Pelodiscus sinensis: one gene and its partners. The protein of the gene in region 1 interacts with the protein of each later gene in a pairwise test. Links are inferred from orthologs where the notes say so. Each region holds a gene or a part of one and is shown on either strand. Other genes may lie near its edges.

Region 1 (7,548 bases):
ACTAGGGGTGGTGCAGGGCTGTTGGCCAGGCGACATTTAGAGTTCCAGCCAAAGCCTGACTCTGGCACCTGTGCCTCTCCTGCACCCCACTCCCTCCCCCAGTCACCATCCAAACCCTCTGCAATCCCTGTCCCAAGTCACAACCCCCTCCCAAACCCTGTATCCCCTGTTATACCCCGTCCCCCAGGCCAGAATCCTCTCCTGCACCCAAACACCCTCCTAGACCCTGCACCCCAATCCCCTGATCCAGGTCACTTCCCCCTCCACCCAAACTCCCCCTCAGACCTCGCTGCAACTCCTGCCCCCCAGCTCCTTACCCCAGGCACCCTCTGCACCCAGCCTCCATCCTAGAGCCCACATCTCCTCCACAGAAAAGTGCAGCCCTTGACCACATTGCAAAATCTTGGAGTGGCCCCCCATCAAAAATTATTGCCCAACCCTGTTCCACACCCAAACTCAGGATGAAGGTCTCATGTTGGTGTCCTAAATATTTCCCTATCTAGGGACAGACATGACCAAATAAGTACTACAGAGAGCCCAGTCTGCACAGGCTCGCTCTACCTGTTTTTTTTAAAGTCATAAACTTCTAGTAACGATCACACAGATGGGAATGTGAAAGAATGTAGTAAGGCCTACCACAGGCGGCTCTTACTGCATTTAAAAGGCTGAGCCGCAGCAGAGTAGGTCCGGGATCCAACGCGAGCCGGGACTCAGCAGTTCTAGCTCACACCAGGTCTGGGACCTACCCAGGAGCGGCCCGAGGCCGGCAGCAGCAGCTGGTGCCCCAGGCAGAATGCGGGATCGGCGCCCCCTCCTGCATGGCCATCAATGGTGTGATATCATCATCGGGTGCTCCGGGCGCCCTGTGACGTCATCATCAGGCGCCCCAGGCGCCCCATTAAAGCCAGCGCCCTAGGCAACCGCCGAGTCTGCCTATACTCATGCGCTGCCCCTGGACCTATCCCCACTGCAGCTTTGTAGTGTAAATGTACTAGGAGCCAGGCTGCCTGTGTGCACGGCTCCTACTACGTTTCAACTACAGAGCTGCAGCAGGGCCTTTTATCGACTAACTGTGTACTCAATACAAGTTGTATTAAATACACAATTAGTTAATTACCCACTTCTTAACATCCTTAGTTACAACTCCCTCCTTCACCCGAACTCCCTCTCAGACCTCACACTGTCTCCTGCACCCCATTCCCTTACCCCGGGTACCCTTCTGCACCCAACCTTCATCCTAGACCCTGCATCCCCTCTACAGAAAAGTGCGGCCCTTGACCAGTTTCCAAAATCTTGGAGTGGCCCCGCACCAAAAATTATTTCCCACTCTGACTCAGAGGATGGCTTTTCAATGCTTGGCTTTACAACCTTAATAATGTTATTTTAAAATAGGGTTTTTTGGGAGGAGGGGGAATTGCATGTAATTTAAGCATAATTTTCTCAATACATATGTATAGATTCCTATGTGTGTATCTAACTACTCTCTGTATATTCATGTACAGGCATGGAGACTCCCAATTACTGAAGCTGGAATGTACAGTACATATATTTCATCATGGCATAAATGCATGAAGTTTTACTGAAGAAATGAACTCTACCTCACTCACTCCTGAGTTTTGCAAAAGTCCGCTCACCTTTTATTGAACAGTCCCTACTCTCAGCCCTTCTAGCAAGCCAATTAATGCCAGAATAAGAATTTATGTTAATATTCAGCGAACATTTGGTGTGCACTGTCAGACTGGAAAATTCAGTATGATACCATACAGCTTATCAGCGCTAATGAGATCATGCCTATTGAGTGCATAACTACTTTTGGTTTTGTATCCAAAATTTTATTACTATGGTTAAAGGGGTCATAGAAGTACTTCAAGTATTAGTTCAAGTATTTCAATTGTGTGTTAATGAACATACATCATAGTTATAGTCTCTATTTAGTCACATTTTAAGGCTTCTAAATGACAATGTGGGTTTCTTTCTCTCACAGAATCAAAACTGTCGGTCATCACTAAGCATATTGAAGCCATTTTAGACGTTGTAACCATTGGTGTGGTTTCCAAATTGCCATTTAAAGCTCTTGCTGTTTCTGTTAGTTCCTATCCGGTCACATTTTTTCTGTGATTTTATTGATTTCCTGGCAGTTAATTGTTAAGCTAACAACATTGTATTAAGAATATTTTCTCATTTTTTTACCTTTTCAAACGTATCAGGAACAAACAGCCAATTTCCAGCAAGATGATAGGCTCACTGGCCTCTTGGTTTAACAGACATCAAATAGAGGTGAACTGCAAGAAATTTTGTGAAAAACATTCCATCCTCCAGAGTTATATTTGTGTAACTGAGAACTCAGTCTAGCCTTCTGCTTTTACACACAAACACACAGTCACTGAAAATATGAAAGTGGAATTTAGACTTAACACATTTTGCTGTAACTAAAAATATTGATAAAAGGCAGAAAATATATATGCCACAGGCAATAAAATATATCATGTTTATATCCCGAGTGTCATGAAATATTAAAACATTAAACAGGACAATAGTCTTGAAACATATTGAAAAAAAGTCTAACTCTTTCATAATTTAACAACCAAAAATTCTGTTTTACACACTATAAATTATCTGCTACTAAATCAAAAAATGAAATATCAAGTATTTTGCCTAGAATATTGTAATTCAATTACAGAAATTAAAACAAGTATAATTAAATGTGTTTGGAACACTCCTGCCAAAAAAAGAGTCGGGATTATGTGGTATGTTTAATTTACAAACATAGATACAATTATAATGCAGTATGTCTTGAGCCCTTGAGGTTCAATAATCCAAAACACATAAAATCAACTCATACTGCCTAAAAACTTGCCTTATCTTAAGAATCCATACATTCTTCTTATAACCCAGATGAACCAAACTTTACATCTATTTTTCCTAGCACAAATGAATTCACATGAAGGTAATTCCCTGCCAGTTTCCTGTGACTGCAGCTGGAAAACTTATTAAAGTAATTCTAAACAGTTTCTCAAATGACATGTCAGCTGTGAGCAAGAATGACAAATATAGATCTGTCCTTCAGCTTCACACTACTTAAGTGTCACCAGGATGAATGTCATACACTGAAAAAAATGACTCCAAAAGTTTGTGGGGTTCCCAGGCTTGATGTATTTTAAACAGACATGGAATGCCCCCTTAAAAACAGAGAACTCTGTGCAGATATTATTAAAAGCATCTGATGTGTCCATCAGCGAATCTAAATATGATGTTTTGCAAGGTTGTGAGTCAAGAATAAGCAATATTTTTTGTACCTTATGTAGGGTGCATAGTCCCTCTCTCTCTTTCTCTCTCTGCCTCTCCCTCTCCCTCTCTGTGACAGGCAGGTATGCACTGACCTAGTTAAGTTTAAATATCTGTTATCTTCTTCATAAAAGTTTAAATGGCACAACCCTGCTCCCACTTCAGTCAGTAGAATTACTGCCATTTATTTCAATGGAAGGCAAGATCAGACTCTAGAAAGCATTATGGTAAAAGTAATTAACTTGTATCTATATTTTTAATTGCAATAATTTATATAAATATCAATATATACAACTTCAGACTACCTGGGGGCTGAAAATAATAGAAAAAACAGCTGCTAGCTAGGTAAATGCACTGCTCATCTGATTAAAGAATAGCCCCCATATTATTAATAATAATTATAAGAAATTATTTAGATTGCAGTAGCCCTTGTGATGTATGAGTCCACACACAAATCCACTGAAATTGAAATATGTAATACTCTGTAGCTTGCAAACAAGCCACAGAATGAGCATTAACTGCAGGTCTTGAATGCCATTCAAATTATTCACCTGTTTCCTTTCTTTAACTGGCATAGTTTTGTGCTTAAAAGGACAATGAAGTTATTGCAGCTTCATAAATATCTGTTGTGTTTCACTGACCATGCAGTCCCACAACGGAAAATTCTGTACCTTGTGTTATTTTTTAGTTTCCTCCTTTCTTTTTCTCGCTCCTGCTGTGATCCTCCCAAGTAATGAATTATGAACTAACTGCTAGTGTGTCCACGCTCATTCTGCATAGTCCCCTGGCATTTCCTCTTATTGTTTAAGTCAGAGAGGAAGTACTTCCAAATGAATGATGCAGCCAACCTCAGTATTTTGTCTAAGAGTGTCTGTATTCATTTTCAAATTAGAAGCAAATGTTGCTGTTATCTTGCTGCAAATCTGCAAAGATCTCCTTAAGGTGCCCTGATGCAAAGCTGGCATACATGGCACATGCCCTTATTTTGTAAGGCCACAACAGACTATTGGGTGAAATTCACTGTTGTACGGTGCCTGAAGCAGGGTTCTGGACCACCTAAGTCAGGGGTCTCCAAACTTTTTAAGCATAAGATCACGTTTTGAATTTAAGTGCAATTCAAGATCTACCTCAAACCCAAACACCCTTGCCCCGCCTCCTTTGTGCTCCTTGCCCCGCTCTCCCTGAGGCCTCACCCCTGCTCACTCCATCCTCCCTCCCCCATCCTCATTCACTTGTACCAGGCCAGGCTAGAGGGTTGGGGTACAGGTTCTGGTCTTGGGTTACGGGATTTGGAGCTTGAGGGACTCTGAGCTGAGCTTGGGCTAGGCAGTTGGGGCGGAGGAGGGGTTCTAGGTTCAGGCTCTGGGAGGGTGTTTAGATGCATTGGGGCTCAGGATTAGGGCAAGGGCTTGGGGTGCAGGAGGGGGTTCATGACTGGGGTAGGGTTTCGGGATGTGGGCTCCAGCTGGGCACTGTTTACCTCAGATGTCTCTTGGGTGGTGATGCAGTGGGGCTAAGCCAGGCTTCCCCCTGCCCTGGCCCTGCACCACTCCCAAAAGCAGCCAGCAAATTATATCCCAAATCCTGTTGTGCCCCCCCTCCATTCTGTGGAGATAGGATAAAGAGTGGGAGAAGGGGCAGATTGACATCAGTGCCACCTCCTCTCCCTGCCCTGCATAGAAAGCAGGAGGCTCCTGGGGGAACAGCTCCAAGGCAAAGGGCCGGAGTTGTGCAGCAGTTGGAGGAGGAACAGCTGACGTGCTGGCACTTGATAGCCGTGTGGCCAAAGCAGTCAGGATCACCTGTCAGAGGCCCCAAGATCTACCAGTAGATCCCGATTCACTGGTTGGTGACCACTGATTTCCTAATTCCTACTTAACCCCTTAAAAAAGGAGCTATTCATGGGAATCAAGCCTTGTGCCGATCCTCTACACAGAGCTGCATTTCACCTGCAGTGTCTCTGATTAGTTTTTTGCATGCTTCAAGTTGCTCAATTTGAAGGAAAACGTGGTGTTTGCTTATAAAGTGAGTGTATCGGTTTGAAAGTAAGTAAGTTCTATACTTGCAGCTCTTCTCACTTGATACCTTGACTGTTTTGTGTCAAAGATCCCAAATGATAGCACCTCATTTCAGGGCTCAGACTGAGTTTTTATGCATTGGTATGCTATACCGTCACTTTTCTAGTGACCCCATACGTTTCTCCAGCGGCAGATATAGGGCAGGGCGAGTGGAGCAGCTGCCCCGGGCTTCAATAGGCCCCGTACACGTGCTACTACCTGTCGAATGTGGCCGTGGCGCATGCGCAAAATTATGCTGCCCCGGGCCCCGCAGTTCAATAGGCCCCGCCTGCACTCTGGGCCCCACAAAACTTTCATCCGCCCCTGTGTTTCTCTATCATTTTTGCTCCCCTTTTAAATTAAGAAGGCTGAGACAATCTTCAGAATTTGAACTGTTGCAATGTTGGGTCTATAGATTGGGACCAGTGTTCCTCATAAGCTGACCTCTCAGGTTGCCACTTAGGAGAGATTCAGATGCTGCCCAGCTGATTAGCAGAGCACCCACCACTTCCCATATCTGGCAGTATGTGTTTCTAGTGGTGGTGCACATTGTGCATGCTTTGGCGCACAAACAAAATTTATTCTGCATGTGGATGGAAAAAATTAGAAGGAACACTGATAGGGACACTAGCTTTAAGAGAGATGTGGGTTTCCTCCTTTACCTGAAAGGGGTATTAATGCTGAATGCTAATAATTACAATTTAAATATCAATGTTGTTAACTCTTTTTCCGCTGATTTTGGCAGAAACATTTAGCAACTCTGGTGTTGAGGGCAAAGTACTATCACCTTTTCTTTCATTGTGACCCCAGCTCAGTATGATCTTTCATCCAAAAATTGCCATTTCTAGTAGCGGCATCGTCTTAATACCATGCTGAGAGAAAATAGTGCTGAATTGCTACTACATCATTGTAATCTCCCATCCATCAAATGAACCTCTCCAGACTGCCTTAATTTATAAGAGCTGATACCTTTACAACAGTATTATATGACTGCAACTGAAGATAACCTTCTGAACATCTTACTAGTGTTATTCTTTCCAGAATCAGGTCCTAGATTTGCTATATACTGTACACAGCTCTGTATTTCTTCTTCTGCATCTAAATGACAATGCCTTTTGAGTCAGTGGTTTTTATTAGTAAAGTATCGGTTATCTATGCAATTATATTTGTCACATATCCCGGATAACATGTATTGATGTCTTTCCATTCGTGACTTAACCAGGGGCAGATGACCGTTTTGCGGGGCCCCGGGCAGCATAATTCCGCAGGGACCCCCTTTGCCATGGCGCATGCACAGTGACGCCATGCGCATGCGCAGCGGTGCCACGGCGCATGCGCGGGGCTTTCTGAAGCGCGGGGCCCGGGGAGGCCGCCCCGTTCACCCTGCCCTATATCCGCCCCTGGACTTAACAATTGCTCTTGATTTCATGCAGAAAACTCCTCAGTGGTATCTAGATGCCTCACTATCACTGAAATCAGTGACGCAGACAAGACGAGCAGGGCTTTAAACTAGGTTCTAGAGCAGATGACCAAAGTCCACAGGTAAAGTGAAAAATGTGACGAAGGGTCAGAAACTAGAGGGAGATGATCTGTAATAGCAGAGATAAAGGAGAAACAAGGCAGAACTCGGGGGGGGGAGGGGGATCAACCCAATACTTTAGTGGTCTGTATACCAGGGGTGGGCAAATTTCAGCCCGTGAGCCAGATCCAGTCTCCAGAGTTAGCCCATGGCAGCCCCCCACCTCCATGTTTATCTGTACCTCCAAAGGTATCGGAGAATCGCAGCTCTCATTGTCCACGGGTTGCCATTTGCAGCCAATCTAAGCAGTGGGAAGTGGTGTCCTGGTCCGCAACACTTTCTGCCACTTGCATTGTCCACGAATGGTGATACACAGCCACCCAGAGTGGCAATCCTCCAAGACCTATTGAGACATAGGTAAACATGGCGGTGGCAGCCCACCAGGGTCTAACTCTGCAAGCTTCTGTTTTTATATTGCCCAACCCTGCTGTATACAAATGAAAGAAGTATGGGGAATAAGTAGGAAAAACTTGAAATGTTAGTAAATAAACACAACTATGATATTGTTGGTATCAGAGACTTGGTGGCATAATACACATGATTGGGATATTGGTTTAGAAGGGTACAGCTTGCTCAGGAATGATAGGAAGGGAAAAAGTGAGGTGTTGTTTTATATATTTAAAAATA
Region 2 (7,021 bases), on another chromosome or scaffold:
AGCTAAAGGGCCAGGCCTCCTCAGCAGCCACACTGCATGGTGGGCACCATTGGGGGTGGGGACATAAGAAACCAGAGGCAGAAGTGGAACTTGAAAGCCAGGAGTCCTGACTCCCAGCCCCCTTCCTGTAACCACTACACCCTGCTCCCCTCCCAGAGCCAGGAGCTAGACTTCCTTGCCCCCCCAACCACTAAATCCACAAGCCGGGCCTAGAGCACAGTGATTCTGAGGCTTTGCACTGTTCTTCCACCGCTGCAGCCGGAACCCAGGCCAGGCCAGGCACCCCCCTCCTGTGAGTAAATGTGACCGGAGCCCCTGCCTTGGAGGCATTCAGGTCGCCCCTGGTACCTGCTGCTGCTAACACTGGGTGCTAAGGGGGGAGAGAGTCTAACATGGGACCCTGGCAGAGCAGCCAGCACCCTCCTTTAGAAGTGAGAAGGGCTCTGGCTCTTAAGGCCCCGGCCCAGCCAACCTTCCTGACCTGGGGGTGGCAAAGAGGGCAGCAGTCAGTGCTGGGACATCCCACCGGCTGCCGTGCTGTGATGCCCGTGTCCCTGCTGGGCCTGCCATGTGGCCCTGGTGCAGGGGCCACTGTGCCCAGGGCCTGCTGTTCAGCCCCCAGAGCTCAGTGCTTTTCCCTCTCGTCCCAGGCACGGGGCCTGCGCGCTAGCTGCGGATTGAACTGGGAGTTGTAGCGACGTTTCCTGTCATCCGCCTCCTCTTCTTCCTTGGGCTGTGGCTCCCCCAGCCGCCCAGCCAGCAGGACTTCCGCCCGGGCTCGCTCAGCCTGCTCCCGCCGCAGCCGCTCCCGCCGCAGCTGCTCCAGGGAGAGGGAGGCAGAGCTGCAAGGACAAGCAGAAGGCAACCATAGACCTCTAAGCCCTGGGCTACCAGCTGGCCGCATGGTCCATGAGAACTACAACTCCCAGCATGCAATTCTCTCTCTCTCTCTCTCTCTCTCTCTCTGCAGGAGAGAGGTGATGCATGCTGGGACATGTAGGCTTCTATTTCCACACCTCCTTCCCAATATACCTGCAGCTGGGAACAAGGGAAGTAAATTGCATGCTGGTAAGTGTAGTCCTTGTGGCCTGCAGCATTGCATGCTGGGACTCTTAGTCCCTGAATCCCCTCTATGGTGCTACTCTTACTAGGTCACTGAAACCTAGCTCTGCCGGTATCCAGCTCACCCCACTGCCACTTTCTCCTCCGCTGGCCCCTCTTTCTCCTTCTTGCGCTTCTTCCCCTCCCCTTTCTTCTTGCGCAGGTGACTTTCCATCTCCCGCAGCGGGTCCAGCATGCCCTTCAGCTTTTCCTGCTTGGTCACAGCTGCTGCCTCCAGGCTACGGTCAGGGGCTTCCTGGTACCATGGCCGGCTGGTCTGCGCCTCAGCGGCGCTCTGCCCCAGATAGGTCAGCAGCCCAATAGCCTTCTCCTGGCGCTCCTGGTTGGGACAAAGCAGAACTGAATTGCCTAGAAGAGGGGGCAGCCTCATCTGTAAGGGGGCAGGGTGGGGCCGATCATGGCTCTGGGTGAGACTGAGTGTTTGCAGCGAGGGAAGAGGAACTGGAGGGCAGCCAACGGGATGGAGAACCGGTGGATGGGGGGAGCCAGCGTGCAGGGCATGGAGCAGCACTGCCTTCTAGTGGTGTAAGAGCATGTTGTGGGGGAAGAGGGAGCCCTCAATTCTGTACACAGCCTCTTCCTCCTACAGGGAGCTGTGTTCATACCCACCCTCATCCCCTCTCCTCCAAGACACCAGGATCTGAAACTCAGCTGTACCCCAGCTCCTGTAACAGGGCAGGTGTAGCTACTCTATTGCACGACCCCCCACCCATCAATGCAGCTATGCGGGGGCAACGTAAGCCAGGGTGGAGCTCCCAGAGAATGCAGGTGCTGCTCCCCACCTCACCCCCCCTTTACCTTTTCCTTGCGCTTCTCCTCCTCATATTCCTTGTTCCTGGCCTTGGAGCCCTTGCCCTCCTCCAGGTCCCGGAAGAGGTCGACGTGACGCGGCTCCTCATCGCAGGGGACCAGCGCCGAGCTGCCATCGGGCCCTGGCAGGGCAGACAGCCGCGCCTTCTTCCTCAGGAACTCGGTCCGTGCCTACAGGGCGAATTGGGGGCTGGGTGTGGGGCCAGCTCCACCGGGGGTGGCGGGGGCCCGGGTGGCCATGAGCTCAGTGCAGGGGATCTGGGGGGCCGTGGGGCTGAGGCCTAACGCACTCCCCTCACCTGGGGCAAGGGCAGAGTGGGCAGGGGCCAGTGATGTTACTGGTGCAGCATCTGCCACGCCAGCCCCCCATCCACTGAGGCATGTGGGATTAGAGACCTACCCCATGGAAGATGGTTTAGCTCAACCCCCCCTCCCCATTGGAATGGTTCAGCCCAGCTCCCTTCTGGTCTGCTTCACTCCCCCTGCCTTTGGAAATGGTTCAGCCCAGCTCCCTTCTGGTCTGCTTCACTCCCCCTGCCTTTGGAAATGGTTCAGCCCAGCTCCCTTCTGGTCTGCTTCACTCCCCCTGCCTTTGGAAATGGTTCAGCCCAGTTCCCCTTTCTTCTGCTTTCCCTCCCATATTTGAAAACGGTAAATCCCAGAGCTCCCTGCCTCTTTATCCCTACGCCGTTTAGAAATGGCTCAGCCCCGCTCCCGTTTCGTTTTCACTCCTTTTGGAAATGGTTTAACCCAGGTTCTTACCCCCCCAGACGCTTAAAAATAGTTCAACCCATGACCCCATGGCACGAGTGTTCACTGTCACGCATGCGCACTCGCGGCCGCTTGATGGCGTGCGCATGCGCAGTCATTCACCTCCTGTTCGGCCAGCAGCGCCCGAGCCTCCCGCTGTCGCTGCTCCTCCTGCGCCTGCGCCTCGTCCCGCCGCACGCGGGCCACATTGTCCTTGTTCCGCACGTGCCACGACTTCTTCGGCAGGATGTTCATGGTCCCCGCTCGGGTCCGCCCGGCGCCGCGCCACTTCAGCTTCCGGGTCAGCTCCGCGTTCCAGAGCCGCCCCCTTTCCCCCGCTCTGAATCCTGATTCGCGGGTCCTAGTCCCGCCCTCGCTCCCTGATTGGAGACCCAACGCAGCACCGCCCCTTTTGCCTGATTGGTCCCCATCCAACCTCCCGCCCGAGCTCTTCTCTCATTGGCCTATTGTAGCCACGCCCCTCAGCCAAGCTCTGATTGGGCCAAGCTGGACACAGGCACAGCCCCTTGTAGCCCATTGGACGGGCCAAGGCCCCATTTTCACACCTCCCCTCCCCCACCCTGGAGCTGTTGCCCCCCCAGAGGAGTGAGACACCCCGGCCCCCTCCCCCATCTCTGTCCTCCCCCGCCCCCTCCCCCCTTCTCTGTCTGCCCCCCAGTGCCAGCCCCATCTGCAAACCAGCGGAACTCCTCGCCGCAGGACCCGCCCTTCCCCCAACACCAATGGGGAGACCAGCCTGAGCCTCCCCTCACCCCCACCCCCTGCGCTGCACCCCAGCTCTGGCAGCAGCCGGGTCACACGACGCTGCCAGGTGACCAGCCATTGGTCTGACACCGTATGGCCCTTCCTGGGTACCCAGCATGCACAGAATCACACGGCCTCCCTTGCAGCCGGGGGGAGAGCAGGGCAGAGATGTGAACAGTGGGCTCATTGGATAACCTTCACAGTTACACCCAGTCCCCCCCCCCTTCCCCTCTTTATCAGAGGCTGCAGTGTCGGGGGAGAGGTGGGAGCCAGCTTTTAAGCCTGCTTCCCACACGTACCAGCTCCCACAGATCCACCTGCCTCCCTCCATCCACCCCACTGCTGCTTCTGAGAGAGGCAGCAGCAAGGTGGGGGGGGGGGGGGGAGTCAAGCATGCAGGAGCCAATGCTCACAGGCAGCACGCACAAGCCAGCTCCTGCCTCCATGAAACTTTAAGCGGTTACATGTTTACCTAAATAAACACATTCATTTTAACATCCCTAGGGCAGGAGACCAAGCACTCGCTGAAACAGTGGAAGTAGCAGGATGGATGGGACAAACCCACCACTACTTGCCTCTAGCCCTGAACGTAAGAACGGCCACACTGGGTCAGACCAAAGGTCCATCTAGCCCAGGATCTTATCTGCCGACAGTGGCCAATGGCAGATGCCCCAGAGGGAATGAACAAAACAGGAAATCATCAAATGAGCCCTCCCTTGTCACTCATTCCCAGCTTCTGACAGAGACTAGGGGGGAGAGCAAATTTACCTAATCTCCATAAATTTGCCTAGTTGTTGAACCTTGTCCTCAGACAGGGAGTTCCACAGATTGTGCACTGGGTGAAGAAAAACTTCCTTTTGTTTGTTTTAAACCTGCTACCTATTCATTTCATTTGGTGACCCCTAGTTCTTATGGGAACAAGTAAATGACTTTTCCTTATTCACTTTTTCCACACCAGTCATAATTTTATAGACCTCTCCTTATCCTCCCTTAGTCTCCTCGTTTCTAAGTTGACAAATCCCAGTCTTTTCAATCTCTCTTCGACAAGAATGATTAAAGGTTTAGAGAACATGACCTATGAAGCCAGGCTTCATGAACTGGGCTTGTTTAGTTTGGAAAAAAGAAGATTAAGGGGGGACATGATAGCGGCTTTCAAATATCTAAAAGGGTGTCACAAGGAGGAAGGAGAAAATTTGTTCCTCTTGGTTTCTGAGGACAGGACAAGGAGTAATGGGCTTAAAGTGCAGCAGGGGAGGTTTAGATTGGACATTAGGAAAAAATTCCTAACTGTCAGGGTGGTCAAATATTGGAATAAATTGCCAAGGGAGGTGGTGGAATCTCCCTTTCTGGAGATATTTAAGAACAGGTTAGATAGACATCTGTCAGGGATGGTGTAGACGGAGCTTGATCCTGCCTTGAGGGCAGGGGGCTGGACTCGATGACCTCTCGAGGTCCCTTCCAGTCCTATGATTCTATGATTCTATATGGGACCCATTCCAAATGCTCGATCCTTTTTGTTGCCCTTTTCTGAGCCCTGCACACCAGGCCTCCCCCCCCCCCCCCCCCCCCCGTGGCCACCTTGATTACTTACCCTTTGACCAAGTAGCATTCTATTTTTACTTTTTAATTTCAACCAAAAATGGTGCTTTCGTTGTAACTTTTTCCCACCACTTTTCCCAGCTGCAGAAAAATCAGAAGAGGGTTAAAAAATGTCTGGGGCAGGAGGTTGGGGGTGGGCGTCACACAGTGATTTAATAACATTAGGTGTGAGAGACTCAAAAAGTTACAATTTTATAAGATGTTAAATTGTTATCATTGGGGCACAAAATACACCTAGAAAGGGGCCTGAAATCAAACGCTGGGAAGTTCTCACGCAGGGTTTCTCGGGCTTGGCCTAGTTGTAAATGCCAATGATTGTCAATAGCAGTATCTCTTTTGGGGTTTGGGTGTGTGTGTACGATGAAATCAGCCTGAAAACCCCCAATCAGGGAGGGAGAGACGCAGGTCTCTGCCAAAACGGGGAGACGGATCAGGTCTTGTAGCTGGGGAATACCAGCGCAGCTACCCTGGACTGCGCCAGTGGAGTTCTGCAGCCAGCTGGCGGCAGGAGATTCACATGGGTCCACCGTTTGGAGGATGTGGGGCTAGCCCGGGGCGGGAAAGAGAACACGAGAATGGAGTGTGGAATCCGGGCTCATTTCAAACACAAGGAATAACACCTCTCCTGAAAGAATGTCAGTCACGCGCCGGGTTCTACTTCACTTCCTGTCTGAAACTGAACAGTGGTGCTGGCTGGTGGTAAAGAGAAGCTGGTTCTTAGCACCAGGTCTCTGTATAAATGCCCTTGGGCACCACCTCAGAGGGGCCGTGTCGGGCGAGGGGACAGAAACAAGCTCTGGGCTCTTTGGGGGTTTCTGTCATTCCCCTCCAGCAGGGGGCAGTCTCGGCGCACAGGGAATCGGTGTCGCTGGCCGGGGAGGGATGGTCCAACAAGTTAGGTCAAGAACCCTCCGCAAATCAGCTGGCGGAGTTGTCTTGTTCCGGGAGGGGAAATCGTGGCGTCTGCTGCGCTCTCCTTAACTCAGCTCTGTGATCTGAGTCACTAAGAAAACTTTATTCCGCCCCTCCTGTGGGAGAAGAAAGGGTTAAAAAGCAGTGGGGAAACCCTAGGCATGGGTTCCCAAACTGGGGTGCGTACCCCCCTGGGGGGGGGTGAAGAAATTCCAGGGGGGATGCGAGGCAACCCAGCCTCCTCCCCCCCCATCAAGTTTTGCTGCCCTGGTCAGTTCCTTTTTTTTTTTTTTGCTCAACAAGTTTTGCTGTTATTTTTTGGGGGAGGGGGGGCGTGAAGGTTTTTCAAAAATCAAAAAGGGGGCGTGATGCCGAAAAGTTTGGGAACCACTGTCCTAGAGAATAAGTACAGCCATCTAGGGCACTCCGAGGGCCCCTCTACCCTGGCATCCTGCCTCTGCCACAGCCCCGTCCCATCCACTTCGGAGCAGGTACCACGGCAGCCCCTAGTGGCCGAAGTGGGGCGTACACTGTTCCTCATTTATCCCTGTCAGTGTCCCATCCTGCCAGGCAGATCATCTTGCAGCAGGGAGTCCCACCGGCTAACGGTGATTTGAGACGGGAACCGGCTCTCCCGCAGCAGTGAAAAGCCCCGGGGCCCAATCTCCGCCCTTCTGTGCCAGCCAGTCCTCACCCTGAGGCCAGAGGGGAGCCAACGCCCCTAAAGGGGAAAGGCCCTGGGCCCCATTCTCTGAGCCAGCCAGCCACCCTAGAGGGGACAGGCGCCCTGACGTCACTCACCAGCCGGAGCTGCCCTTTGAGTTCCTTCACCAGGCGGCTGTAGGAATTAGCCAGGGCCATCAGGTAGAACATGAGGATGCTGCAGTGGGGGAAGGGAAGAGCAAAGGTCAGGAGGCTCGTGAGAGATGGGGGGTAGGGGCCGTGAGGCAGGGACCTGGCAAGGGGGGAATGTCAGAAGGGGGATTATCTGCGGAGCCAGCACAGAATTCTGTGTGTGTGTCTGTCCGTCCATCCCTGCTGGAGGGGACAGGCCCTGCTGTGT
Region 3 (7,039 bases), on another chromosome or scaffold:
GGAGCAATGTTGGTTCTCAGTCTCTTGAGTTCAAGCCAGGGTTGCCAACAGTCAGTAAATTTATGGGCAGCCCATAAAAGGAGCTAAAATTGGACCTGTCTGTAAAACATTTCCATGTCAATAAAAACCCACTGAGCTTCCTCCCACTTGGCTCTGGGGCAAGCTCCGCAGGGCAGCTCCGTAGACTCTACAGTTCCTGGGGCAGGGGGGAATTCTCCTGGTGGGGGCTGCTCTTCTTCACCTGTGGTGACCAGCTTTGAGCTCTTTGGTGTCACCAACCCTCATGCTCCTGCTGCAGCCCATCATTCAGCCTTTTCAGCCGTAGCCCCCTCCCCACCCCCATCCCGAGATGTGAAGTAGGTAAAACCTGAAGAAAAGTCTGTTTTCCTCACCCCTTTTGAATTTTGCCTGTGCCCAGAAGAGTCCCAAAAGGGTCACCTGCCTTGCCCGAAAGCTTTCAGAACTTGGAGGATGCGAATGTGGGTAGTAAATAGGTTAAACTAGCATAATAACATTGCTGCTGTGATGTCTGAATAAAAACATTGACTAGTGTTCCCTTTTGTCGTATCTTTATATAGTGTAAGAATGCGTCCGTAAAAAAGTTTCAGTAACTTTTTTTCCATGTTGTCCACAAAAATACTTTTAAGCAGATGGCAATCCTGGTTCAGGCTCAACACAACCCCTGCTGGATCGCTTGATAGCTTTGTTCACAGCTAATGTGTAAACTGAGGTAACCTACATTCCTTTGTCTAGGGCAGATCTGTTTTATCACCTTTGCCTAGGCCAGGCTGTCATCTTGTTCTAGTGACATTGTACAGTAGGCATGTAGAGCTTCACATAAGAAGTTAACACATGCATTTTACACTGATATTAATGAGCCGTGTGCTACAGGTTGAACCTCTAAAATCCATGTCTCTCTGGTCTGGCAGGACCACAAATATTGCTGGGCCATATTACCCTGTTTGGCCAGGTTCAGGAGCAGTGGTGGGGAGCGCCAGCCATGGGCTGGGGCAGGCAGCAGCAAACTGTGCTTCAGGACCACTACGGTCCTGAGAGTGTCCGACTAGGGAGATCCCACCTGTATTAGTTTTAGGTGCTGTCTTGTAAAGGCATATGTTTAAAAAAACGTTTTGCAGTAGTGTGTAGGGTGTGAACACAGCAGTGCGTACAGACAGTTACAGTGTCTTACTATATAGTTTAGAAATGTGCCTCTCTCTGTCCGTCCATCTGTGTGTCTGTTTGTTCAAGAACTCCTCCTAAACAGTAAGAGCTAGGAACATCAGCTTCCTCTTACCTTCACCCCGATCCCCTGCCCCAGGTCAGAATCCCATCCTGCCCTAGGTCTCAACCCAAACTCCTGCATCCCCTCCTACACATCAGTCCCCTGTCCCAGGTCACAACTGCCTCCTTCACCCAAACTCCCTCCCAGATCCCACACCTCCTCCATTAAAGTAATGGAAGAGTATAGCCTTTGACTACTTTCCAAAATTATTGCCCACCTCTGTTCTACTGTATAACCTAGCCACAAGATTTTAGAGAATTTTAACTACAAAAAGTATATTGCAGTTACTGCAGCTGTGGGTCAAAAAGTGAGTGCCTATATTTCTTAGGGATCCCACATTTAATTTTATCTCCACAACTAATAAATAGATTTTTTTTGTAAATTGCCAAGTTCATTCTTTACTCAAAGTGCTGTAGGCTTGCAGATGCTGTGCTGTGTTCTTCGTACATAAGTGTGGCCCTGCTTAAGGGCAAAACTCAAATACACTTTGACTATGAAATGTCTGAGGACACCTCCATAATGCCGCCATTAATTTATTTTTTGAATGTCAGATTTGTTCTTTTTGGAAAACTTACTAAAATGTGTTTGTCCAGAATACTTTACTTCTTCCAAATGCTTAGTCGTTTACAACGCTTGGTCCCTGTGTTGTGCTAGCAATAGACTGTTTCAATTGCTTGCATAAGTACCAATGTCATTAAGAAGTGTACAGAACATTTTCCTCTGTCGCTGTGTAAAGTGGTCTTCATTTCATCCTGCTTGAGTATGAGGGATTGTTTATACTACTACTTAACAGGGGGGAGGGATAGCTCAGTGGTTTGAGCATTGACCTGCTAAACCCAGGGTTGTGAGTTCAATCCTTGCAGAGGCCATTTAGGGATTTGGGGCAAAAATTCATCAGGGATGGTACTTGGTCCTGCTGTGAAGGCAGGGGACTGGACTCAATGACCTTGCAAGGTCCCTTCCAGTTCTAGGAGATAGGCAACCTCCATTATAAAAAAACTTACATTGCTCTGGGTTATGAAAAAGCCATGTAAATTACATCAACTTAGTATGGGGCAGACACCACTTTTATATGGATGTGAGACTCTCTCCCGCCAACACAGCTGTTTCTTCTTGTTGAGGTGGAGTAATTACGCTGAAGGGAAAGCGCTCTCCTGTTGGCGTGGTGTCCTTCACCAGACGTGCTGTAGTGCTGCGAGAGCCCAGTAGTGTAACTAGCCCATAGTCCTCTGCAGGCCATGGAGTCAAATGTCTCTTGTGTGTTACAGAGGAAGCCATTTCGACATATGGAAAAGAGAATGTGAAGATCTACAACACCTCTTTTACCCCCATGTATCACGCTGTAACGCAGAGGAAAACTAAGTGTGTCATGAAGCTGGTTTGTGCTGGCAAAGAAGAGAAGGTGAGCCAAATGAAATAAGTCATAGCTAAAATGTTAAGGAGAATGGAACAGCTTGTATTCTGCTGTTAGCTAAATCGGTGTGGCTAGCGAAAGGTAAAATAACTGGCCCACTGCCAGCAGGATCCTGATTAAACCAGCTAACCGATTACATGGGATTTTACATCCCTACCTCATCATTATTTGTGGCATATGAGGCTGAAGGGGTTCAGCTACGCCGCTCTAGTCTGACCTCATATATAACACAGGTCATAAAATTTCATCTGACTCCTCTTTTGGGCCTAATCAGTGTTTGACTAAAACATCTTTGAGACAGGCCCCCAGTCTTGAGTTGAGCATTTCAAGAGATGAAAAATCCTCTGCTTCCCTGGTAGTTTAATCTGTTCCACGCCCATGCTGATAGATTCCCTCTGGTTTTGCCAGCTGCAGGGGCACAAAGTTAAGATGGTGCTGCAGGGGTAATAGGGACTGTAACTTCGTATTTCCTAGTTTTCAAAGGTTTATATTTTGTCACTTCCCATATTCTGAAGCAAGCTGCTTTCCACAGGCTGGAAACACTACTGGGCGACCTTAACTCTTCACTAACTCCAAATGGGTAGATTTGTTTGAAAGGCTGTTGACTAGGTCAAAAGTAGCTTTTCTCTATGCCAATGAGTGATCAGGTTGATGGAGATTCTCTAGCTGGTTCAGTGATAACTGTCATTAAATGCTCATCTGTATTAAAGTAAGTTTCCTATTGTTTGAAGGTGGTGGGACTACACATGCAGGGACTAGGGTGCGATGAAATGCTGCAAGGTTTCGCTGTAGCAGTCAAAATGGGAGCAACAAAGGCCAGCTTTGATGAGACGGTTGCCATTCATCCAACTTCATCAGAGGAGCTGGTCACACTCCGTTGAAAGGTTGCGTATTTCTGAGGCTTGCAAACCAATCTGTAATACGGCAGCCAAAAACACTTGAAATAGGCTTGCGGAATCATAACTACTTTTCTTGGTGCCATTTAGACAAACTCTTTCTTTTCTGTGACACTCCAGATGATATTCAGATTCTTCTGTTTTTGTAATCTAGACATTTATAATGTGGGGAAAAAATCTGAGCGACGTCCAGTGGTGGTGGCATCTCTTCCTTTCATCCAAATAGCTTGGTTTCTTGAAGCTTCATTGGTTTAGACTGAAAAATAAATAAATAAAATAGTTTAAACTCTTTGGTTCTTGTTTGATTATCTCAGACCTCATAAGCTTATCTAAGCCCATGTTTTGACTGGCTAAGCTATCTGGTGCAAAAGAGATGTCTCAGTTTTCATTACTTTCACCATTGATTTTATCATGTGGGACATGTAGAATTGTCTTCCTCCTGTCTCGTTCAGCATGGCTCTGTGCACGCAGAAAAGCTCCTCTTGAATTATGATTGGCAGAAGGAATTTCAGGGTACGTCTACACTGCAGATGCCTGTGCCACTGACTCAGGGTTCAGAGGCTGTTGATTTACAGTGTCATCACTTGGGTTTATGCTCTAGGATCCTGTGAGGTGAGAGGGTCCCGGAGTGTGAGCTGCAGCACAAGTGCAAACATTAGCACTACAATTAAACAGTGCCTTAGCCTGAGCCCCAGTGAGCTGGCATGGGTCAGGGGCAGGTTATGTGCAGTGTGTACATACTCTCAGGGAGCAAATCTGGCCTTGTGGCTAAGGCACTTGACTGGAACTGAAATTCTAGGTTGTCAGTCTCTATGTAACCCTGGGCAAGTTACTTTCTTTGTCTCGCTCTCTGGCCATGTCTATACTTACCCATAGATTGATGCTCTGGAGGGCCATCTTCTGGCATTCGATTTAGTGGGTCTACTAAGGACCTGCTAAATCAAATGCCAAGGGGCTGCCCCCATTTATACTGGCACTCCTACTCCTTGGAAGGAGTAAGGAAAGATAATGTGAATGTTTCTCCCATCGACCTCCCGCCGTGGCAGTGGTGCCAAAGTTTGACGCAAGGTACTTAATGTAATTAACGTAGCTGAAGTTGCATATCTTAATTCGAACTTATCCCCTAGTGTAGACCTGACCTCTCTCTCTGCCCCAGCTCCCTAGCTGTGAAGTATGGATAGTAATGTCTTTGTCCTCATAGGCATCTGATCTTGGTTCAGTCCTCTCTATGTTCTTTTGGTGTAGAAGTGTGGTGTCGCCATAAATATGGTTGGGTTATAAATTAAGGCATAAATTCTTGTTTTTCTTTAAAAGTAGGTGGGCAGTTGGTACAAAGTGTTTTATTTTAAGCCTGCTGGTGGTGGAGACAGTAATATCAAATCTGCTGGGAAATCCCACAAAGAACCTTTTATCTGAGACAGTGACCAGGCCTGTAAATTGAAATCCCCGCAAGAACTATCCAGTTGCAGTTTGTGATTCCTGAGTTGGAAGTTGGAAGAACACCATGGAAACCTCATACTGGCTACTGCCTCTTGCATGAAGTATCATCTCCACACCACTGAGGCATGAGTTTTATGGGATGTGATTTGGAGTCCTGTCTTCCCACCTGTCGGGGGATTATGGTGGGGATGACTGGTGTGATGAAACACCCCCCCCCCCCCCCCGTGTTCGCACCCTATACATGTTGTACAAAATATGCCTTGTGAAGTTTCATTTGAAAACTAACAACTCACTGGTTGGTAATGTCACAGAGAAATGTGTGTAGTGATAGTAGATATACGATTTAAACAAAAGCTGAAATCATGACAGAATTGTGTTTACCAGGCAAGTCTGGGAGTGGATAAACTTGTTTCTCAAAGACAAAGGACAGACTCACAGCTTTGGCCTGGTGTCCTCTAAGCTGATGGGCCCTCACCAATCAAGTGGCAATTCTTTGGCAAGGGAGAAGGGTGGGGCAGGAGTGAACAGATCTGCACCTTAGCAAACAGCCATTCACCTCTTTCACTAGCAGACTCCTGGATTCCAACCTCACAATAGGAATGACTGTTAGGGATAACCCTCAAGAAAATGGATTTCAAAGAGAGATTGAACTATAAAAAGCGAGTGGAAGAACACACCCTATCCATCTCTTGCTCTCTCACGTGAGAAGACAAAAGAAATCAGCCTATTTGGAAGAGATCCTGACCTTGGTCAGCTTTGTTGCTGGACCCCTCTGGTAAGAATTTTATTTTGGACCAACTCTGTCCTAAGTTTTAGTCCTAGGAAGTGTTTTATCCTTATTTCTCTTGTATCCATGTCTGACTCTGACTTTAAGTGAATACAAGCATAGGGCATTAATCTTGTAGTTTAATACATTTGTTACATTCTTTAATTAAAATCAGCCCAATTTTAACTGTCCATTTATGGCAGGAAACTGTATGTTAATCCCCTTGCAAGAGTTGGGATTACAAAGGGTATGGCTCATCAACCCAGAGTTAGGGGTGGGGTCAGAGGTTTCCTTGGCCTGGGATTTGGATTGGGGTCAGTAGGAGTCTCCAGGCTACACATGGTAAGGCTCCCTGCCCGAGGGTTGGCCAAAAGGGAGGGTTATGGTAACATTTGCAACGGGGAGGGGTCCCTTGCCTAGGGCTAGGGTTACAAAGTAGAGGGCTCCCACTGGCTCCTGAGCCTGGGGCTAGAGTTTGGATCAGTAGGGTTCCTTGGCCTAGAGTGAAGGTTGCGCGCTCAACCCCAGGGTTACTGTTGGGGTCTGTAGGAGCCCCGGGCTAGAGTAGGATTGTCAGTACAGGTGGGGTGCTCTGGCCTATAGTGGGGTTTACAAAGGGTAGGGCCACTAGCCCTAACATTAGGCTTGTTGTTTGGGCTCCCTGCATTGTGGTAGGGAGCCCCTGTGCCTATGGATATGATTGTTGTCAGGACTCCCCAATGGAGGGTTTGAGTTCCAAAGGGTAGGTCCTCCAGTTGTGAGGTCACAGAGCACCTCCGCCCAGGGACTCCCCAGTCTAGGATTAGGGCTACAAAGCATAAAGTCCCATGGCCTGGGATTAGGGTTGGGGTGAGCAGGCGTCCTTGGTGTAGGTTTGGGTTGGGTCAGTACAAATCCCTGTCTTATGGTACAGGTTGGGTCATCAAATTTCCAAGCAGAAGGTTTGGTTAGAAATGGTAAGGCGACCCGCCCTTGGGTTTAGATTACAATGGGTAGGGTTCCTTCTCCTAATTTCAGGACTGGGGCCAACAGGGCTCCCCATGCTAGGGGTAGGGCTCCCTGGCCTAGAGCTAAGATTGGGGTCAGCAGGACTCCCTGCCTAGGTTCAGAGTTGGGGTTAGCAGGGCTCCCTCACATCGGGTTAGGGTTACACAGCATAGTGCCCCCAAGCAGGGTGAGGGTGAAGGTCAGAGAGTCCCTAGGGGTATGTAAGGGTTGGAGTTAGCAAGGCTCTCTTGCCT
Region 4 (7,006 bases), on another chromosome or scaffold:
GCAGCAGTCAAAAAAAAAAAAAAAAAAAAGAGAATGTTAGGAATCCTTTAAAAAGGGATAGAGAAGACAAAAAAAAATCCTATTGCCTCTATATGAAACCACGGCACACCCACATCTTGAATACTGCGTACAGATGTAGTCACCTCATCTCAAAAAAGATACCTTGGCATGGGAAAAGGTTCAGAAAAGGGCAGCAGAAGTGATGAGGGGCAGGGGCAGATGACTGTTTTGCGGGGCCCCGGGCAGCATAACTCCGCGGGGGCCCCCCCCTTTGCTACGGCGCATGCGCGGGGCTTTAAGCGCGGGGCCCAGGGCAGCCACCCCGTTCGCCCTTCCCTATACCCGCCCCCGATGAAGGGTTTGGAACAGGTACCATATGAAGAGAGATTAAAAAGGGAAACAAGATGACATTCTATAAATATATTAGAAGCAAGAAGACGACCAAGGACAGGGTAGGCCCATTGCTCAGTGTGGAGGGGGAAAAAGTAACAGGAAACGGCAGAGATGCTTAATGACTCTTGTTTTGGTTTTCACGAGAAGTCTGATGAAGGAATGCCTGACATAGTGAATACTAGTGGGAAGGGGGTAGGTTTAGAAGATTTTTTTTTTTTTTAAAAGACCACACAAACCCACACCCCTCCTCCCCCAAGTTTAAAAAAATCACTTAGAAAAGTTGGATGTCTGCAAGTCACCAGGGCCTGATGAAATGCATCCTAGAATATTCAAGGAGCTGATAGAAGAGGTATCTTAGCCTTTAGCTATCATCTTTGGAAAATCATGGGAGACAGGAGAGATTCCAGAAGATTGGAGAAGGGCAAATATAGTGCATATCTATAAAAAGGGAAATAAAAACAACCCAGGAAACTACAGATCAGTCAGTTTAACTTCTGTGCCAGGGAAGAGAATGGAGCAAGTAATTAAGGAAATCATCTGCAAACACGTGGAAGATAATAAAGTGATAGGGAACAGCCAACATGGATTTGTAAAGACCAATTCATGTCAAACCAATCGGATAGCTTTCTTTTATAGAATAGCGAGTCTTGTGGATACGGGAGAAGCGGTGGATGTGGTATACTTAGATTTTATTAAGGCATTTGATACGGTCTTGCATGATATCAATATAACTAGGCAAATCCAACTTAGATGAGGGTACTATAAGGTGGGTGCATAACTGGCTGGGTAACAGTTCCCAGAGAATAGTTATTAATGGTTCACAATCTTTCTGGAAAGGAGTAACAAACGGGGTTCTGCAGGGGTCTGTTTTGGGACCGGTTCTGCTCAATATCTTCATCGACGATTTAGATATTGGCAGAGAGAGTACACTTAAGTTTGCAGATGATACCAAGTTGGGAGGGGTTGCAACTGCTTTGGAGGATATGGTCATAATTTAAAATCACCTGGACAAATTGGAGAACTGGTGTGAGGTAAATAGGATGAAGTTTAATAAGGACAAATGCAAAGTGCTCCACTTAGGAAGGAACAATCAGTTTCACACATACAGAATGGGAAGTGACGATATAGGAAGGAGTACAGCAGAAAGGGATCTAAGAGTTATAGTGGACCACAAGCTAAATATGAGTCAGTGTGACACTGTTGCCAAAAAAGCAAACATGATTCTAGGATGTATTAACAGGAGTGTTGTGAGCAAGACAGGAGAAGTCATTCTTCCACTCTACTCTGCGCTGATTAGGCCTCAGTTGGAGTATTGTGTCCAGTTCTGGGTGCCACATTTCAAGAAAGATGTGGAGAAGGTTTAAAACTAATAAAAGAAAGTTCTTCTTCACACAGTGCACTGTCAACCTGTGGAACTCCTTGCCAGAGGAGGCTGTGAAGGCTAGGACTATATCAGAATTTAAAAAAAGAGCTAGATAAATTCATGGACGTTAGGTCCATAAAAGGCTATTAGCCAGGGGATAGAAATGTTGTCCCTGGCCTCTGTTTGTCAGAGGCTGGAGAAGGATGGCAGGCGACAGATTGCTTGATCATTGTCTTCAGTCCACCCCCTCTGGAGCATCTGGCACTGGCCACTGTCAGCAGACAGGATACTGGCCTAGATGGACCTTTGGTCTGACCCGGTATGGCTATTCTTGTGTTCTACGTTTAAAACAAAGAAAGGAAAGTTTTTCTTCTCTCAGTGCATAGTTAAGCACTGGAACTCCTTGCCAGAGGATGTGGTAAAGGCTAGAACTTTAACAAGGTTCGAAAAAGAGCTAGATGGAGTCATGGAGTTAAGGTCCATCAACGGCTATTAGCCAGGATGGGTAGGAATGGTGTCCCTAGCCTTTATTTGTCTGGAGGTGGGTGACAGGAGAGGGATCACGTGAGGATTACCTGTTGTGTTCACTCCCTCTGGGGCACCTAGAATTGGCCACTGTCGGCAGACAGGATACTGGTCTAGATGGGCCTTTGGTCTGAACCAGTATGGCCATTCTTCTGTTCTTTTGAGAGTCCACAGTGTTGGTGGGACACTGGGGAGCATGCAGAAGAGACTGGGGAGGTGTGGGAGAGCTGGCATTGGTTTCAGGGCTGAGGTAGCCTTACTGCAGAGTCCCGTCTTAGGAAAGAGCACGTGAGTTTAAATACTTAGAACTTGCAAGAGTCGAATGGGTGGATTCAAATACAGCCACCGTGGGAACTGCCCTCTAGGGGCGCTTAAGCCAGGATGATCACTGAGCTAGAGGGCCGCTATTCACGAGAACAATCTAGGTCTTCCCGGTTCTCCTTACCTCCTTGGCCCGGGGAGCAGACATTCGGATACACGGGCGCAGAGCGGGAAGGGACACACCGCCCTTGGCTGCTGTTCTCATAGTGCTGATTCAGTAACGAACGCAATTCATAGTTCTCTCGGAGCAGCCTAACCTGGTTTTTCAGGTACGTGTTTTCGTTCTGGATGGTCCTGATCCACTCGCTGTCCTCGCTCATCGTCAGCCTCCTCCTCCGGGTGGAGTCGGGGGTAGCAGGCCGCCTCAGCGGGGCCAGAGTCGCCTCTCCCACGGCTTTCAAAGTCCCCCCAGGAAGTCTTGGAATGTTCCTACCCCATTGTGAGCTCATGGCTCTTAAAGGAACGGCTGGGTTTTTAAGCCCTGAAGACTGCGTCTTGGACATAACCTTGGAGGAGGCCAGATACAGTCCTAGAGCTTAACCCTCAAATCCTGATCCAAACCCCAATGAAATCAAGGGAAGGCTTCACACGGGCCTAGTAGCAGTGTGGTTGCCAAGGACAAAACTATTTCTCAGGAGAATTTACTTTTCCTTCTAGAAAAAGTAGAAAAACCAAGGCTTGCTGCTAGTTACATGAAGATCTACATACTTTTTTGGAACTTTTTGGTATTCTTCTTGGCCAGGCCAGCAGAAGCCTGGAAGCTAGCCCGGGATACCAGAGATACTCAACTTCTCCTCCTAATGCAGAGGAGAGAAATCTCTTTGGTCAGGGGATGCTGATGCACAGAAAGGAAAGAAAAAAAAAACCCAATCAGGGGCCAAGTGAGAAGCAAAAAAAAAAAACTACACATCACCATAACAACTACGAAAACCAAGTCACTGATGTGGTCCCTGACATTCTCCTCGCACACTGGAGCCTAGCGGGACCCAGGCTAGTCGGTTGTGGGGCCCCTTACACTCTGAGGTGGGGTCAAAAGTGAGGGGTTCAGTGTGTGGGGCTGCCAGAAAGCAGGTTTGTGATGTGGGGGTCCAAGCAGGGGGAGGGTACAGGAGCCTCAGGGGCTGGATCCAGGCAAGTCAGGGGCTGGATTCAGCCTTTGGGCTGTGTATTCCCCACCTCTGTCCTATAACAACCCTGTATAGACAATACAACTCCTTATATTGACTAAGTATGCAGACCAAAGCGGCAAGAACACAGAAGGCTATGGCAGCATGGAAAATAAAATACCTTCATGTCACTGTGTTTATCGCTTGCTCCAATGTTTTGGTTGCCACGTATTTGTCTAAAGGCAAAGGGATACTACCGTGAACCCTAATGTTTCAAAGTTCACTCGTAAGCAGTAGCCTCCCCAGGAACTGAAATTGGGGGGGGGGGTTCAAATTTACAAGGGGCAGTGTCAGGGTTGATGAGGGGTGAGACCGTGAGGGTGACAGTGGGCCGTATGGCACCATAGTTCACAAAAGTGGGGGGGTGTTAGGGAAACTTTGGGGGGGCGGTTAGGGAAATCCCTGCTCGTTAGGACTGTCCTGCAGCGCCAAGCACACTGGTATTTCCAGAGCAGGTGGGCGTTTAGGACAAGGATCCTTATTTTCACTGACTCTGGCCCTCTTCTCCCCAGGAGGCAAAGCGCACCAGGAGCTCTGGTGCGTCAACCACAGAAAGCTGCCCGGCTAGATTGAGTCAAAGCGTCTGAACTTGAAATGCAGAGAGAAATTGGGACTGTACAGAAAGAAGATAAAATCCAAGGTCCAAGCTATCCTGATTCCTCAGCAGGGAGAGTGGAAAGCAAGCTAAATGGCAGCACAGATGACAGATTTTACTCTCCTTAGTGGAATGCCATCCCTTTCCCAGAGTGCAAATCCACCTAGGAGGCAGCAGTAACAAGCAATTGCCAACAGGTGGCAGACTTACACCTGTAAGCACAGTCTGTAGGATCCTACAACCAAACCCAGGGCCTGCCCCTAAAGGACACCATGCAGTAACCAAGTGCCCTCTCCAGAAACAAGCTCACTCATTGCAAGTGCAATTAGTGAATCGTTGGGGGACAGACTGGGCAAGAGAAAGTGTCACAGCTCCATGAGGAGGCTGGGGAAAGCAGAGGCTGGTTTCTTGCATCTAGGATAAGGTGCAAAATGGGGAGGGGGATCTTATACCTTGACTACTGCCTGTGACTCCAGATCCTTTGCCCCCTGCTTTCTGGTGTTGTAGAGACTGGCCTGCACGTTCTGTGAGAATTGTTTTTTGCCTGCAAAAAGCCTCATTAACCTCCTGCTCCTGCCAGCTGCGGGGAGACCAGCCCTTGCAGCTGCTGTACCTCAGAGAGGATCCCTCCGTGTTTTCCTCGTGGCATTAACAGGCAGATGGTCACACAGGGATGAAGCGGCTGTGCTGGCTGTTACAAGACCCCGAACAAGGGAGCAAGCCCACCAGGGCATGCCAGCCTGCAAAGCAACCTACATGCCGTCCTAAAGGCCAGCACCCATCGGGGACAAAAGGGCACATGCATCAGACTCTCCTCTCCAGAGACAGCAGACACACAGGGATGAATTTGCACTTTCCCCAAGAGACAGGTGGGGGCCAGGCTCAAAGCCATCTATCCGGCAGGTGGGCTGTAAAGGAGAGGAGGAATGAATCTCAGAAGACCCACAAATTGTGTGTGCTAATTGTGCACCTAATCCTCATTACTCGGTCACACAGCTGCCTTCCTACACAACCATTTGACCTGCCTTTGGAAGGGGAGAGGGAAGAGACTATATAAAACAAGGAAATGTATTGAGAGAAAAAAACCTCTTGATAGTTAGAGGATGGTGGTACCAAGAGCAAACGTAGCAGGCCCAAGAACAGATTTGGATTTGAGAACCTGCTGCAAGCGTTCAAGAAGCTGTAGTTTGCAAAGCTTGTTCCAGCTGGGTTTGTTGCACATGCTGCCAGGTGGATTGTAAAGTAGCCAGAGGCCATGAAGACAAACAGTAGCGCCTGCATTTAGGAGATGCGGTCTAATGGGACAGCTTAACACAGTGCCAGCATTAGCCCTTTGGAGGCACGCAGCAGGAATATTCCTGGCCCTCCTCAACACATACTAATAATCGATGCAGGATTCCCAGGTAGGTTCAAGCAAGTGCTCAGTCTGCTTATGCATAGCACCAGCTCTGCCTGAAAAAAAGTCACTGGAAGATGGAAGCTTAGCTTAATTTCTTCACTATTGGTAGAAAAAAAAGGGAGGCCCTGCTGGTCAATGCAAACAGGACCCCAGACATCCCATGGGGCACACGCCTTCCCCACACATACCCTTGTTTTCCTACCAAGGGTATGTAATGCTCTACCCTTACCTGCAGCTCAGCTCCCAAACAGCGAGCACACACTGACTACAGGCAGGGACTATGCTAGCAGCTGCTGTGAGTTATATGCCAATGACCCGGTCCCATAATTCTCCTAATAGTGGTCCCTTTACCATAAGCGCAGTAGTACTGCAGCCCTGGAATGCATGGGACTGGATATGGTGCCACTGATATTCCTAGAGCAGAAGGGATCCAAGCCGGGCCGGGGGGGGGTCTCCCTGTGAGTGCAGTGGCTGGGGGGGAGAGAAGCGCCCACATGCCGACGGGCTGAGTCATGAGCTGGGTTGCCACAAGGCCCGGCCTGCTCCCAGGCTTATGCTCTCAGCCCAGCCAGGCTGACGTGGCTGCATCCCTGCAGCCGGAGACGCATGTTTCAGGGTGGGCCCTTGTGTCACAACGTGCTGGTGCTCGGTGCAGCAGCTTCCCCCACCTCAGTCAGGCACCCCAGGTCTTACCACCCGGCCCCACCCTGCCTCAGAGCCAGACGTCACCCCCCACCTGGCTCCCTCTGCCATCCCCCTCACCATGGCCTCTCATAAGACAAGAGGGCCACCGTTCCCCCAGCCTCCTTCCCATGAAACCCACCTCTGTGACACCCCGTATTCCAAACGCCACTGGGCTCCCCAGGCCCTGTGCACCCCGCCTCTGTGACAGCCCTTCCCCCCAGCCCTTCACAGCTCCCCAGGCCCTGTGCACCCCGCCTCTGTGACAGCCCTTCCCCCCAGCCCTTCACAGCTCCCCAGGCCCTGTGCACCCCGCCTCTGTGACACCCTGCCCCACCCCCGCACGGCTCCCCAGGCCCTGTGCACCCCACCTCTGAGACACCCTGCCCCTCCCCCGCACGGCTCCCCAGGCCCTGTGCACCCCGCCTCTGTGACACCCTGTCCCACCCCCGCGCGGCTCCCCAGGCCCTGTGCACCCCACCTCTGTGACACCCTGCCCCACCCCCGCACAGCTCCCCAGGCCCTGTGCACCCCGCCTCTGTGACACCCTGCCCCACCCCCGC

Evidence for each region.
Region 2: the proteins of FSD2 (region 1) and LENG1 interact in binary tests that used the Homo sapiens proteins (3 or more experiments, as listed by UniProt). The two-hybrid records come from large-scale screens. The link is inferred for Pelodiscus sinensis from reciprocal best matches to the Homo sapiens genes FSD2 and LENG1.
Region 3: the proteins of FSD2 (region 1) and SH2D4A interact in binary tests that used the Homo sapiens proteins (3 or more experiments, as listed by UniProt). The two-hybrid records come from large-scale screens. The link is inferred for Pelodiscus sinensis from reciprocal best matches to the Homo sapiens genes FSD2 and SH2D4A.
Region 4: the proteins of FSD2 (region 1) and speriolin-like protein interact in binary tests that used the Homo sapiens proteins (3 or more experiments, as listed by UniProt). The two-hybrid records come from large-scale screens. The link is inferred for Pelodiscus sinensis from reciprocal best matches to the Homo sapiens genes FSD2 and SPATC1L.

Annotation. Positions count from the first base shown.
Region 1 is NC_134724.1:20,216,761-20,224,308, reverse strand, and holds the start of FSD2 (fibronectin type III and SPRY domain-containing protein 2), read right to left. Parts: upstream 3,015-7,548; 5' UTR 2,858-3,014; intron 2,384-2,857; 5' UTR 2,191-2,383; intron 116-2,190; exon of another isoform or gene 1-115.
Region 2 is NW_027465849.1:4,030,830-4,037,850, reverse strand, and holds the start of LENG1 (leukocyte receptor cluster member 1), read right to left. Parts: upstream 3,023-7,021; 5' UTR 2,938-3,022; coding exon 2,806-2,937; intron 2,104-2,805; coding exon 1,921-2,103; intron 1,442-1,920; coding exon 1,188-1,441; intron 843-1,187; coding exon 626-842; 3' UTR 1-625. Other genes in the region: voltage-gated chloride channel TMC4, read right to left, coding at 6,024-6,074, 6,760-6,838.
Region 3 is NC_134715.1:4,803,760-4,810,798, reverse strand, and holds the start of SH2D4A (SH2 domain-containing protein 4A), read left to right. Parts: upstream 1-4,030; 5' UTR 4,031-7,039. Other genes in the region: GSR (glutathione reductase, mitochondrial), read left to right, coding at 2,551-2,684, 3,428-3,577. UniProt on the Homo sapiens protein: Inhibits estrogen-induced cell proliferation by competing with PLCG for binding to ESR1, blocking the effect of estrogen on PLCG and repressing estrogen-induced proliferation. May play a role in T-cell development and function.
Region 4 is NC_134717.1:61,496,846-61,503,851, reverse strand, and holds the start of speriolin-like protein, read right to left. Parts: upstream 3,020-7,006; 5' UTR 2,923-3,019; coding exon 2,727-2,922; intron 1-2,726.